Tamandua tetradactyla: one gene and its partner. The protein of the gene in region 2 interacts with the protein of the main gene of each other region in a pairwise test. Links are inferred from orthologs where the notes say so. Each region holds a gene or a part of one and is shown on either strand. Other genes may lie near its edges.

Region 1 (7,188 bases), on a different chromosome or scaffold from region 2:
TCCCCGTGTTGCTGCAGGGATTCTGTGCCAAAATTCTATGCCAATGTAATTGATGTTAGGTGGGAACAGAGTTTTTCTGTTTGTGCTCAATCCCAGAAGACACATCTCCTCAACCCCAATGTAGGCATAGGGCCTCTACCATCTGCCTTCTCTGTCCATAGCCTCCCTGAATTTATTGTTTAATCACACCTCCTAACCTCAGTAGTTGCATGGGATCATATTCTTTAGTTAGTTTTCCTGAATAAATGGGCTCCATTGGGCTAAGGATGGTGCCATTTTAAGAAAAGAAAATAGTTAATGATCTATATCCACTCTAAGAGTCTATAAATTAAAGAGTGTGGAATGCCCGCAGAGATGGTGGTAATAATTTAATAAAGAAATTCTACAAGATTCTTGAGCACTGGTAAATATTAAACATCAGCATATGAGATATATATATACTATGGATTCAATCACAGTGCCCATACAAGAATTAGTTCTTATGGATGAAGGGCTGAGTGCTTAATCACTGATAATATACTGAGTGTAAAATTTACTCTATAACAATTCCATGGATCCAAAGAGAAAATGTTATAATTTGCTTTAAGTAAAACTAATGTTTACCAAAACCCTGCTTTTCAGGAGCTAGATTTTGTTGTCTAGGTCATTGAGCCACAGGATAAAGGGCATTATGGTGTGTCTTTTTTATTTGTAATTACTGAAATATTCAAATTTCATGCCAGAACCTAATTCATCCTTACCAAGACTACAAATGATGAATATTGTGCTGGACTTCTGATTATACTTAGTTCTAATTCCCAAGTTTGCTAGGACAGATTAGTGATGTTCTCAAGATAAGCATTTGAATTAGATTCATTGTCTGAATCTGAACATTCAGGGCAAAAAAATAATTATTTGCAGAGCTGAAAAAATTGAAATAGATGGCAATACCTTACTACATAAAGTGTAATTAGGCTAGTCAAAGTAAGTTTGAAGCCAGTAAAGTTATCCACCTAAAATGGACATCTAGGTACTTAATGTTTCCTATTAAAATGGGAATCTTCATGTAATGAGGAAAAAATATATAATGTTGTTTATATGTTTCCATGTATCCCCTTAATATTTTAAGATAATGAACCACTCTTTGCATTCTGGTGTAACAAGAAAACTTTTTCCTTTCCACGTAGCAAAAGATTTACAAGGAATTCAGGCATTTTGACCTTTCGATTCTAACAACCACTAGTCTAATCAAGTATGGAAATAGTGTGGAAATACTACAGAGCAAGTGTCTCTGACTTAGTTCATTTAATGTGTTAATTCTGACAGTTGGAAAATCTTACTCACAAAAGACTAAGTGTCAGCAGGTTTGATTACAAAACCCAAGAAACATGAGCCTCTTGCAGTCAGAATGACACAAGTATCCATTTAATACTTTACAGAAGAGCCTTTTCAACTCTGCAGCATCCCAGACGTATTCTTTAAACATGCATTCATAAGGCTTTATTCTGAGTGAGAATAACGTTTTGAGTGAATGTGGGAAGTGGGAAAGGAGACAACAGCATCAACCTGGAGTTGCTGAAGGCAAGACCAGAGCAGAACAAAAATGTTTTGGTTTTCTTGGTCGCTGTATTCCCAGTTACCGCATGGTGGGTCATTGTTGGGAAATATTTCCTCACCTGGCATTCAAGAAAGGGAGGACTCACAGCTGTTTTATAGTTTTGTCTTAAATAGTAGTGGATGTTCTATTCTGCCGGAATAAGAAAACTGATAGAGCCAGATTGTGGTCTGAGATTCTTTTCCGAAACACTGCCATCGTGTGGCACGTTGGAGCCATTATGACCAGAAAAGTCCTGGAAAGGGTCATATGGTTCATCTCAAGATGGTTGAGTTCCAACAAAATCTATTCCTATAACTCAACTCCCTAAGTTCATATTAAATCATTCCCGTGGGCACAAAATAAACTATAGTGAGTCCTGTGGGGACAGCTAGTTGTTTTTAGAATCTGTGGACTTGCCCCCGCTAAACTGACAACATGACAAACATCCCGTGGGTAATGTGTTTAAGAAAAAAAGTTGTTGAAGACAGAAACAAGGCAACTGTTTTGCAATTTTATATCCATGTGCGTTTATATTTCAGAGAGGCACAATCTGAATTATTAAAATGTGCGCATATAACCCACAAATCAACAATACCAATTCATTTTGAATACATCCAATTTAAAAGAGACCCAGTTTCCCTCATGAAATGTTCATAAAATCTAGTTACTGTTTTTACTAACATAGCAGGAAATTGTTTAAATCTAGATTTATTTTAAAAGCAATATTTGGCAAATAGGAGCTGACACTTAAGAACTTATAATAAATAGCACCATTTATCTTTTAATCTCACTTTCATCTGCAATGATTACAATGAAAGTGTGAGGTAAATGAATAGTAAAAACAAATTTCACAACTGGGAAAGGTAGGTAAAAAGATTAAGTTAATGTCAAGACAATATGAAATATTTAAAACGAGCTCAGAGCTCTACTATCCCTGATTTCTGCTCCATTATTCAAGCATCATCTGTAATTTTCTTTAAATACCTTTACGTATCCAGTAAAACTTTTTAAGTATAGAGATATTTGGGTTTTTTTTTCCTTTTCTAAGCAACCAACCATAGATGCATATATAAAAAGATGATATAGAAATCTAATCAACCTTTCAGTGGTGGGCAAATTACCCTATTTCCAGACACAACTTAAAGACCTAATAACTAATAACAAACTTCTAATAATCTACTCCATCTAAAGATATTACAAATCATGACTAACTCTTTTCTAAAAATTACAGTAATAGTTAACACTCACACAGGGCTTAATATAAACCACACATTTGCATATACGTGCCAAGCACTTGCATATAATTTCTGTCTGGCATTGATACTTTTAATTTTTCAATCATTTAAGCTTCTCAAAATCCTTATAAGCTAAGTAATAGTATGTCCATTTTACAGATGAGGAGACAGGCAAAGGTAGGTCAAGTATTTTGCCCAAGATTCCTCCACAGCTAACTAGAGGCAGGACGGGATTCAAAGCCCACTCCCTTGCTCCTGAACCAGCCCTCTTCAAGCATTCACCCTGTTTTCAGTCTTAAACTGCTTTACTACAGCAACATCTAGAGTAAATAATGATTCTTCTATTTTATATATAGCAAGTTATCAGATTCATCACCTCCTAACAGCTCACGCATCCTCATCAGTGCAACAAAAATCTGTGTCCTTGAAACATGACTGTAAATCCGACTTAACGGGCATGAACATAAATTTTTAATATCACTAATGCCATTTGTCTAAGTCAATGAGCTGCTGCATCTTTGAATACAAAACTAAGCTTTAGTAGTTTAGTATGGAGGGAGGCTAACTGAACTCTTCATATGCTGTACAGCAATATCTTTTCAGCTCTTCAGTATGTCTAATCATGGAGACAAATTTGGCTGTTACTTAAACGGAAAGAAACAAAAAAATACATACTATTTCATTTCATTTAAGGTTGATATATATTAATATTTTTCTATTAATTCAGAAACTATGCGTAAAATCTTGATGATGGTTACTCCCTCACCCCTTTTTATGGGATCCCCTACGTGTACTTCCATAATGATTAATGCCAACCTCAGAAATGAAAAAGCTGGTTAATGATATTGTTCATAAGTAACATTTTAACTGTAGAGGAATCTGTGCTTGTTTCTTGTTTGTTTTGTTTTGTTAAGCCACAAAACCAGAAGGGAAGTGTGGGAGCTTGTGGGCTGGGCAGTGGCAAAAAAACCTCATGACACATCTCTCCGCCTCCCTGAGCTGGTGGAGAATGTCTGGAGCAGCATTTAAATTCGGGGAGGTTCTGGTCGTCAGCAGCAGACAGAGGAGGCAGGAGAGCACAGACTCATCCAGACTGAACTCTTCTCTGACGCGTTGCAGCCTTCTCAGCCAGACACCCACCGAGGTAAGCCTGCAGGCTGCATCACTTTGCAGTACTGTAAAACATTCTGTTTAATTGCATGGGGGAAATTCAAGTAGCAAGGAAAATAGTTTAATCAGGCTGCTGCAAGACAGACAAATTATTCTAGTCATTGGAATAAGTATGCCCGATACAGTGCAGATCTCCTGGAGGAAAGGTGACCAACTATTTTTGAAAACCGGTCAAAAATAAAACAAAAATACTTCTACCAGGTCCTCAGAAAGAACTGAAACCTCTGCTTCAAATAGGAAAACAAACCCCAAGAAGCTAAATTCTGTGCCCTTTGGAATTATTATACCTGTATCATTTTAATGGATAGATGGTTGTAGAAGCATTTAAAAGGAAAAGGACATTTAGTACTAATGTCACACAATTTAATACTAATTTTATTATTTCATTTAGTCCAATTTCAAGGGGAAGAGTGCCTTTCTGAATGTTTTACATCTGTATTTTCCTGTTAATTTTTCACAAAGACACTTATATGATACTATGGAGACTCATTATTACGAAATAGAAAAGCTGTTGACTGTTCTCAATGTTTTCTTTTTAATTTCAAATTTCTAGAATGTCCTACTTAAGTAACTAACTTTAAAGATAAGTTCAGTTCACCTAAATAGCACCTTTTCAGCAATTTAAGTTAAAAACTACATTTGAAATGCATGCTGGAAAACTGGTACAATCTTTGGAATTCTCAATTTAAAAGTTAAGTGAATATAAACTTGTGAAATCCCTCTCTCCCTTGCTGAATAGTGAGAGATGGAGAAGAGAGGTAACATTATAAATATTAACTCAAAATGCCATAGCATTAAAAAGAAACGGTTTTGCTAAGAAGTGATTATTTTGAAATGTGATAGCATAAATAAGTATCATTGATTTAACCTACAAAGATGTCATATGCTCCTCACAAAATATTTTGCAGGAAAAATCACCACCATGAGAATTGCAGTGATTTGCTTTTGCCTCCTAGGCATCACCTATGCCCTTCCAGTGAGTATAGCTCAATCTGAAGGAAATTCTTGAAAATGAAAGAATTATGCAGTTCCATGTGCTAGAAACATTTTATCATCCTCATCGTTCTTCTTTTTATTTCTGTTTCAAGGTCAAACACAAGGTTGATTCTGTCAGCTCTGAGGAAAAATATGTACGTACCTTTTAAGTTTATCATTTAGTTTATCTATGCAATTACTGTAAGAGGTTTTATAAACATATTTGTTCCAATTTTACTTATTATCAAAATCAAGACTGTTAATTTGTTAAGTATTTATTGCCTGCTTGCTATGAATCTAGAGCAGTACTAATTTTTAATTAGTACATTTATAATTTTTAATAAATGTATGATCTTAAAACCAAACTAAATTTTCAATGTAGCAAAAAAATGTTCTACGGCCATTATCACTTCTGTAAAATGAGTTCCATGAAATTGCATGACTGTTTTCTTCCCACGAGTCAACATAATGTTCTAGAAGGAGAAAATTCCATTCTTTGCATTACTTAGTGGAAGGCTAAATTAAAAATTCTTCTCAGATATTGGTCAAGACTTGTTGTAAGGCCATAGTGCTCACAATATCTCCTAAGATATTTGCTAAGAAGCCCATTGTCAAAAGAAAGTCTGTTTTATGCTGTTGGTATCAGTGGTGCTTGCCAGCTGACTTTGGATCACATTTTCCTAGTCAAACACAAGACCAAATCAAATTCTCTATTATACTGATTTGACCAGCACCCTAGATGTACCTGCCCCTCTGCAATATGTGAAACTGTGCCAGCCAAACAACAAACAGGCATTGTCCCAAGAGTTTAGACAAAAAGCCACACAAAGTACACTTCCAGAAGAACAGAATAAAGGCCAGTACAGAGTTGCCTGGGATCACTGCAATTAAATTACTTGGTAAAGATATTCAGAGAAGCATTGCTGTGTGTCTGCATGTGCACCTGCGTTTGTGCTGAGCATGGGTGCATGTGTGTGTCTGTTTTCCGATTGATTTGAGAAGACAAGTGTTGACTCGCAATAATAAACCAGGAAAAAAATAGCATTTCCAGAGAAGATGAGGTCGTATTATTTGCTGCAAGAATTAGTGCCTTTTTAATAGAATAAAATATGGCAAGGATGTATTTTTAAAAGGTACATAAAAACATGACAGTATAAGTTACTAAATAATATTTAGAAAATAATTGAATAAGCTCGTCTCAACCTTTCAGAATTCCAGAAATTTAGAACTAATAGGAATTATGGAGAAATCTATAAGGATATACTTATACTTTACAAGGTAAAGATAAAAATGATTACTGGGTTGGTCAGTCCATTTTGCTTTTGTATTACTTTTTAAAAATTATAAATGTAATTTATAAATACCTTCTCTCTGAGTATGTATCATCTCTGAGCTTGAGTCATCAAAAAAAATAAAAAATATAAAGGGAAACTCTGAGCTCATCTACTCCAGTGGTTTGCACATCTATTAATTGGAGCCAGTCATATCAGAAAACCAAAATGCCATTGATTGGTGCCTTTCCCATACATATTCCCTCAAGTGTCTGATAAAGGGACTCTGCGGGACCCCCAAGGCTGTTATTCTCAAATGATATGAAACAATCTGCTCTGGGTGATACAGCCTATCAGATGACACTTACTCATAACAATTCCCACTCCTCTTCACTACCATATTACAATTGTGTTCCAGATAAATAATTTGGCTAAAGAAAATGTTATTTGATTTACATCTTTGGCAACTTAGAAAAATAGAATTTTCTGTAATTTCACTTTTCTATATCTGCACTGTCAGATAAAAGATAGCTACTAGACATGTAGCTACTGAGTACTGAAAATTGTGACTGGTGCAACTGATGAACTGGATATTTAATTTTTATTAATTTAAATTTGAATAGCCACATGCAGCTAGTGGATACCATATTAAAAAGCAAAACCTTAAAGATTTCTCCTTGTTCTATGAAGAGGAATCAATGATGATCAACATTAATTAAGAGCATTTCTGCTCTAGCTGTGCTTTATCTATGCAGAGAACTCAGCTAGCAAACATAGAATGGAAAAGCACAGTGTTAAGAGCCAGTTTGCCTGGGTTTAAACCCAGCCTCAGCTACTTACTACCACTTGGCCTCATTATGGTTAAGTTTCCTGATCTGTAAAATGAGGGGGAAAAAAATGATGTCTGAATCATAGTGAGTTGAAAGGATTAAATGAAGTAATATTTGTAAAGCACTTTGAA
Region 2 (7,798 bases):
GCTTTTCCCCCCACCAGAATCTCAGCTCCCACAATATCTGTCTCAAGGCACAGAGAGAGCCAGAGGTCAGTTGCTGGACAGCTCGCAGGCCTCTGTGGCAGGAGGGAGGAAAAAAAAAAGAGGATAGGAAGGAGGGAAGACCATGAAGAGGAGCAAGGCTGATGGTAGTAATGTGTTCCTTTGTTCCCCTGTGCCATTTTCCCTCCATGTCTGGCCCCGGCCTCCCTTTACCCACTATGAACTCAGAAATGGCTCTTTTGAGTAGGTTAGAGCCCATCTTGACTAAATCCCCAGCCCTTGACCAAATCCTTCTGATGCCATCATAGCCTTTGACCCAAATGGAGGTGTCAGTCCAGCTACTCTGATGACATCAGCCTTTGTTTATGCCCTCAGGTGACATTACATGAGCCCTCCTTCATCCAGCATCCCCAGACTTACTCAGTCCTAGTCTTCTGCAGTAGGAATTTAACCCCTCACCTTGATTCTTGGGAGTCAGTAAGAAGGCCTTGGAGTCCAGGCAGGAGGTCAGGAACTGGAATTCCTCCACACACTTCTCAGGAGGATGTGGTGAGCGATCTGGAAGGGCAGGGCCAGGACAGTCAAAGGCCCTGCTTCTCAGCATCACCCTGGTGAGTACCTCATGGGCACGTCACCCCTTCCTGGGGTGATGTTAAGGGATTCAGAGTAAGGGCTCTCTTGCCTTCCTGTTTCCCTCTGACCTTTCCTGCCTTGCATCCCCACTCACTGTAGAAGAGGAAACGCTGGTAACCCTGGCCCATCTCTTTCAACATGATTCCTCCTGGGCACGAGCTGGAGAAGAGCTTCGTTTTCATGTCAGGGCGGCCTGTCAGGGTGAGTGGGGGGGCAGGGGATGAGGACAGAGATGCATAAGCAAGGCCAGAGGACATGGAGAGGGTGAGGGCTGAAGGAACCAACCTTCAGTTCTAAGATCGGTGCTCCCGTCAGTCAGGTAATAGATCCACTTCCGGGGCACACAGAGCCCGTTTTTCCTACAGAGGTGGTGGTGGCATGAAGGACAGACTTAGAGACACTCCAACCACATAGTCCCAGCCTCCCTTTACTCCTCCTTGAAGGAAACTTGGATCCCTGTGGATTTCAAGCTACCAAAGAATGGTTAGATCTAGCTTTCTCTTTCCAAAGGGAAATAAGTACTACTGAGCCAAGAATAGTGGAGGTACCAGCCAAGAGCCCAGCTCTTGGTGGATGAGTGCTTACTCTTTGGGCAGAGACCACACCCACTGACACCTCTACCTCCTCGTCACTCACGTGCGGATAGTAGCACGAAGCTGGAGGTGTCTTGGGGCAGAGTCAGTAGTCATATTGAAGACAATGTTGTCCACAGGGTCAAAAGTCGCCAATTCCTCCCTGGTGGGAGCTGCCCCTGCGATAAAGTACCACCGACCTAGGTGGGGCTCTGGAAACTGAAGAGACAATTTGAAAAGCAAATTGTCAGTCAGGATAGGCATTGGCTGCTTTCCTCTTTGCAAATGGGGGTCAGATCCATGACAGCAAGTCATCAATGACTTGGGTAGCCACCATCCCACCCCACCCCCACTCCAATTCTGCCATGTCTCCACAGTTATGGCTTCAGAACTAAAATCTTTCTCCCTGCTTTTGTCATCACAACACTCACAGCATCTTCTTCCCCTCCTTTCCCCATGTGGCTTCTGGTCATCCTAAGCCACCCACCCAAATTCCCCAGGGCCTCCACCATAGGCTTCACGTGTTCTCTTCCATACCTCTTTCCCATCCACTCCCAGAGTTGTCAGTTGACTGTGCTCAGGGCAGTAGTACATGGAATCAAGGAGAATGCCATAGAGGTAGAGCAGAGCTGCCCAAATTCGGTGGAACATCTTCAGGCAAGAGGGAGCTGGTGCCCTGTGTGGGGTGGCTGGTCCCTGTACTGCTCTCTCCCCTGCTGGCTGCTCAGTCCACTCTGTTTCCAGCCCCCTTGCCTTGATCCTTGACCCTTTCACCTGCTAATGAGTAACTTCAACCTTGTTTTCCAACCCAAACCAGGATTAGTGTTCGGACCTTCCTCCCATCTCTATATGCAGCCATTCTAGAGTACACCCTAATATGTCTGGGGTTTCTCAGGAGTTATGAGAACTGAACCCAAGTAAAAGCCCTTTGGTCTGTCAACCCATAGCTGAGCTGTATCTGCTGTGTTGTGCAGCATTGGAGAGTCTTTCATTCATTCACTTAGCAAACTCTTTTGAGTCCCAGCTGTTTGTTAGAAACTGGCTAAGCTCCAGGGACTTCAAGATAAGGCACAATCCTGGGCCTCAAGAAATCTGCCTTGGGAAAACTGACTATATAAACAAATCATTACAATACAACCTAAGTGCTGTAGAACAGGTATGATCCAGACAGTGAAACATACTGGGTGATAGGCTTTCTTTCTATAGGAGCTTGTTTATAATTGAGGAAACAGTGCACATACATTCTGGAAAAGTTTGCTGGCATGTAAGTGAATGCATTTGTTCAATGTTTATTGCCAAGTAAGAGGCTGTATCATCTAGTGTTAAGATCTTTGGTATAAGGCAAATCTGGGTTCAAACCCAACTCTGCTTATTAGGTGTTGGGCAGTTTTATTAATCTCTATGCTTGTTTCTTTATCTGTATAATGGGTAAATCGTCCATCTCATAGGATTAAATGAAATAATGCACATAAAGCCCTTAGTAGAAGGCTGCACATAAATTCAAAGTAAAAATTCATTGTAATTAATGTTTGCACTTATTAGTTTCTGATGGGTACTAAGTTCTTAATAGGAGGTAAGAAGAACTGTGTAGAAGCAGTAATTGGATAATCCCAAGGGAACAGAACAGTTAATGCAGTGAAAGGGGGCTTTCTTAATAGATTATTCATAATTCATGACTGTCCCCCCAAATTTGTCCTGAGAGGTGAAACTTACTATAAGCTTGCAAAATTTAGTTTAAAAACAAAACAAAAAATAATCTGGATGATTGATGTATATAAGGGTTCATACTACTACTACTACTACTTTAGGGTGTGTATGAAATATTTTATAACAAAAAATAAAAATACATTAATTTATTGGGGCAGCAAAGTAGAAGTACTTGACCCAGAGTCTGGCAAGCCTAGATTTGATCATCAGTTCTTTCTGCCAATTAATGTTCGTCTAAGTGAACTCACCTATAAACCCGACTATCTCAGATGAAAAAAGCTTAACTATGACAACAGTACGTAAAACCCTTAGTATGCTGGCTGGCATAAAATAAATGCTCACTAAACAGATGTTTATTAAAGTCTTAACTGAAACAGTACTGGAACGTGGGTATATAAAAACTTCAAATCCTGGGAAGGTTGGTCAGCGCAGGTTGGCACCCGGACAAAGACAGGCCTGGCTGGAGGGGTCGCAACGGCGTAGGGGCAAAGACCTTGTTCGGTGGGGAGTGTACAGGGACGATAATCCCAGCCCTGTCCCGGGCCTGCCGAAGTCCCTTGACAGCCTCAATTTAGGGCCAGAGTCTCGTTTTTAGGGCCAGTCTGACTTCACTTGCTCCCAATTCCCAAATTCGGAGGCATTCCTTTTCTTGACACATCCTGAAAGAACCCACAGCTTTTGAAAAACATGGCATGTCCCCTCGGTCGTGCACTGCCAGAACATGGCGCTGGCACCCCACGAACGCCCGCCGGTCAGCGTCGAAGTCTCTCCAAACGACGCAACCGGACGCAGGGGGACAGGCGGCCCACAAGCTGCCCCCAACCGCCCGCAGAAAGGGTGACTTTCGAAGATGCAGAAAGAAGAAAGAGCGCGACTAGGGCGACAGTGAGAGGAAAGCAAAGTTTTAGGTGGCTAGAGCAGTGCCGCCTCAAATTCTCCGCCTGTCAGAACTTTGACATAGATTAATGAGGCATAATCCTGAGTCCCCAAACTACAAGATTCATACAACTGTTCAAAGTATCTCTTGAGGCAGTCATGGACTCCCGTCTGGTAATTTATTTTCAGGCATTTATAGTGGCCACCTGAACTTTATAGCGCTCACGCGCGCACAGGAAACACGAACCGCGCTACCGGGGGTGGGGAGGCGCTTCAAGTGTGTACGCACGCGTATGTAACGCACGCAGGCGCAGTACGGTCCCCCAGGCGACGGCGGCGGCGGCTCCTCGGGGTGGTCGGCTCCCTCCCATCTAGGCCGGCCCCGGTCCGTCTCGCCCCCAGGAATTCACTGTTTGGGGCTCTGGAATTTCTCGTCGAGCCCCACAAAAGGAAAGCTTGGGGGTCTTGCGGAGCCAGAAGTGCCGCCTCGCGAGCCCCTAATACTGTCGGGGAAACGGAAGTGGCCGTCGGTGGCAGGTTGGGGGAGACCGGAAGTGACGGTACCGTGGGGGAAGTAGGGGGCGGGGTTGCGAGGTGGTGTGCGTGCGTCTGTGTGTGTCTGTGTGTGTGTGTACGTACACACGTGCGTGTGGTTGGTTGTGTGTTGGTTGCGCCGCTCTGTTGGAGCACCAAAGGCAGGCGGAAGAGGGCAAACAGCTAGCCGTTCCGTCCCTCTTGAATGTCCGCGGTCTTCGGTCCGTCGTGACTTACGCGGGTTCGATGGGCGTGGCGCGCGTGCGCGAAGCCACTCTTTCCGCAGCGTCTGGACCGAACCCTGCTCGCGTTATCCCAGGGTTTGCCGACCTCTGGGGCCCTTTTTCTATTGCGACCGGTGATGACACTTCTGGTCTCGTGCCTCCTTCCTTCCCTGCTTCCTAACCTGACTGGCCCTCTTTTATGGTGATTGGCATCGTGGAGCTCCTCCCACCCCCGTCTTATAGTTCCCTAGGCCGTCGCTCTCTTGCCCTTTGTGTTTCTCTCCTTGTGTCCCACAATTAGAAGGGGGATGGGGGAGCTTATGAGTGCATGTACTTTTGTCGGAGAAACTTTTTAGGTATTGGGACGGGGGCTCAGGCCAGGGAGGCTTTCGGGAATATAAAATCTGGTCCGGGCGACAGCGGGCCTCCTTCCCTCTCTTCCCCCCATTCTTCCCTAGATAGCTGTCGGCCATGGAGCGCAGTGATAGTACCAGTGCCGCTATGGAGGAACCTGACAGCCTGGAGGTGTTGGTGAAGACCCTAGACTCTCAGACTCGGACCTTTATTGTGGGGGCCCAGGTGAGATCCTAACACTTGTGGAAGACATTGATTACTTCTTCATTTTGTAGGCTCTTAGCCTGAGGGAAGAGTCTGATTTTCTTGTCCTCAGGTTTTTTTTGTTGTTGATTTCTTTGTTCATATTCTGGAACAGAACGTTTTTTATTGTTTTTTGATGTTTCTGTTCCTGAGACAGATTTTGTTTTGTCTTTCTCTTCATCTGTAGATCTCAGTACAGAGGGAAATAGAAAGGAAGGAGGACTCTGTAGGCCATTGCAGCTGGCCCTCAGTGCAAAGGGGAAACAAAACATGCAGACCCAAAGCACAAGTGTGTTTTGAAAAAAAAAACTGTCAGGCCTAAACTCTATTTTTAAGACTGGAAATTAGAGCCCATTATGTGGATAGTGCTTTAATAAGCAGTTGAGTAGGAATTATGACTGTTTGTGGCATAATTTAATCTCAAGTTTAATGCTATGGACACAGCTGTACTTTACTCTTGTAATATTTGGAGACAAAAATCTTGAATGAGTTGGTGTGTTTTTTTTTAAACCTGATATTACATGCAGTGTTTAAGAAAGCCATTTAGACTTTCTGATGCAATGTGTGTAAACACCCTGGTACTTCCCAAGTTGTTTAGGAAAAGTGTTTTCCTTTTTACTCCATTTCTAACCTCCTCTTTGGTTGAGTTTTCCCCTCTTAACCTGATCCCCCCTACCCCCATCTTCCTTGTCATTGGTTTTATCTTTGAGATTATGAAATAGTCTGTGGTTAATCATTTTTGTTTGCGGAGGGGTTACTGGTATCTCTAGACACACATTCCCTTGGGAGCCAGAGAAGTGGAAGGAATGCAAGTTGGCTTTTCTATTTCTCAGCCATGTAATTCTCATCTGGGCTTATAACCTGAGTTTAACTGACTTTATTGTCTGTTTTGGCAGGTATGTTTTCAGCTTAGGGTTTCACAATCGAAATAAATGGGTAGTGATTTTTATGATGGTTTTTACCTCTCACTCTAAGGCAGCTGTTTCTCTTGTGTTCTTCCTACATTCCCTGATTCCTATCCTTGTCTCTTCTCCTTGCAGATGAATGTAAAAGAGTTTAAGGAGCACATTGCTGCCTCTGTCAGCATCCCCTCTGAGAAACAACGGCTCATTTACCAGGGTCGAGTTTTGCAGGATGATAAAAAGCTCCAAGAATACAGTAAGAGTATGGGAGGGGCCAGTCAGAGGTTAAAGCTGCTGTGTGGCGGGATGGGCTGAGTCTGTGGGTTTACCTAATCATACGATGTCTTGGTGTGATTTTTCTTTCCTGTAGATGTTGGGGGAAAGGTTATCCACTTGGTGGAACGGGCTCCTCCTCAGACTCAGCTCCCTTCTTCTGGAGCATCTTCTGGAACAGGGTCTCCTTCAGCCACCCATGGTGGGGGTCCCCCACCTGGTACTCGAGTTCCTGGGGCCTCTGTTCATGACCGGAACGCCAACAGCTATGTCATGGTTGGAACCTTCAATCTTCCTGTAAGCTTGTGTTCCACATGGGAGGTTTTTTTTGTAGGGAACGGTAGATGCGGTTGTGGTAGCAGCAGGGCACTCCTGAGACAGGTGTCTCAGGTTTTAGTGTGAATTTGGAAAGCCCTGTGGTCTGACATTGGGTTTGATCTTTGAGAGACAAAAAAGGATGGAACTCCAGAGAATGATTTGGAGGTATGCGGGCCTTAGTCTTTGGCTTCTCCCAGAGCAACTTCCCTTACCCTTTCCTCAGAGTGACGGCTCTGCTGTGGATGTTCACATCAACATGGAACAGGCCCCAATTCAGGTATCACAGGGCCTGGGAGGGTCAGGGAAGGGGATCTGGGAGAAGGAGGCCTTGAGGTGGGGTTGGGTCTGGCTGAGGAGATAGCTGGGTCCTGCTATAGTAGGTGCTGGAACACATGGGTACATCTCAAACCTGCCCTGATCATCTCTCCTCTCTTCATAGAGCGAGCCCCGGGTCCGGCTAGTGATGGCTCAGCACATGATAAGAGATATACAGACCTTACTCTCCCGCATGGAGGTGAGTGGGTAAGGCCAACCAGCCCCAGGACTGGGGTCATGAGTGGTCACATCCACAGGATTCTTCTCTGCAATCTTCATTCTTTGGGGTAGAAAAAATATCCTTGTGAGACTATCTCATCCCTCCCAGTCCTCTTGGTGCCTGTATTTAAGAAGTTTGTTTCAGACTTGTCAGATAACTCTCATGGCATCTCCTTTCAATTAAAAATTTTAAAGGATTCAGTTGTTTTTTGTTTAATTTCTTAGTTAACATATTTAGCATTGAGATATCCTAACCTCATTAGTTTGTGTTGTAGGCTGCAACCTGTTGTCTTCTCTGTCTGCTCGTAAAGGTTAGGAAACCACAGTCTCTACTTTTTGTCAGTAATTTATTTGTAGATGTTACAGGTATTTATTATGTACCTAATTTATTTAAGTCTCATACTATGTATTGTACTAGTTCCTAGGAAGTCAAAGATACAAACACAAAGCTCTGCCTTCCTGAAGGTAGAGCACATTCTCCACTCAGTCTCCTTGGACCTGAGTAGTCTTTTGCAGCAGTCTCATCCTGCCTTTGGTGTCTTTACTGTTCCCCACCTTCAGTGTCGAGGGGGCCCCCAAGCACAGCAGAGTCAGCTGCCCCCACAGACGC

Evidence for each region. The genes of interacting proteins can lie anywhere in the genome.
Region 1: the proteins of BAG6 (region 2) and SPP1 interact in binary tests that used the Homo sapiens proteins (3 or more experiments, as listed by UniProt). The link is inferred for Tamandua tetradactyla from reciprocal best matches to the Homo sapiens genes BAG6 and SPP1.

The regions. Positions count from the first base shown.
Region 1 is NC_135350.1:38,797,759-38,804,946, reverse strand, and holds the start of SPP1 (osteopontin), read left to right. Parts: upstream 1-3,818; 5' UTR 3,819-3,955; intron 3,956-4,889; 5' UTR 4,890-4,903; coding exon 4,904-4,957; intron 4,958-5,069; coding exon 5,070-5,111; intron 5,112-7,188. UniProt on the Homo sapiens protein: Major non-collagenous bone protein that binds tightly to hydroxyapatite. Appears to form an integral part of the mineralized matrix. Probably important to cell-matrix interaction.
Region 2 is NC_135331.1:87,239,843-87,247,640, reverse strand, and holds the start of BAG6 (large proline-rich protein BAG6), read left to right. Parts: upstream 1-4,654; 5' UTR 4,655-4,763; coding exon 4,764-4,766; intron 4,767-4,789; exon of another isoform or gene 4,790-4,920; intron 4,921-5,022; exon of another isoform or gene 5,023-5,026; coding exon 5,027-5,143; intron 5,144-6,201; coding exon 6,202-6,319; intron 6,320-6,433; coding exon 6,434-6,633; intron 6,634-6,877; coding exon 6,878-6,931; intron 6,932-7,093; coding exon 7,094-7,168; intron 7,169-7,749; coding exon 7,750-7,798. Other genes in the region: APOM (apolipoprotein M), read right to left, coding at 416-576, 746-844, 937-1,010, 1,288-1,442, 1,761-1,874. UniProt on the Homo sapiens protein: ATP-independent molecular chaperone preventing the aggregation of misfolded and hydrophobic patches-containing proteins.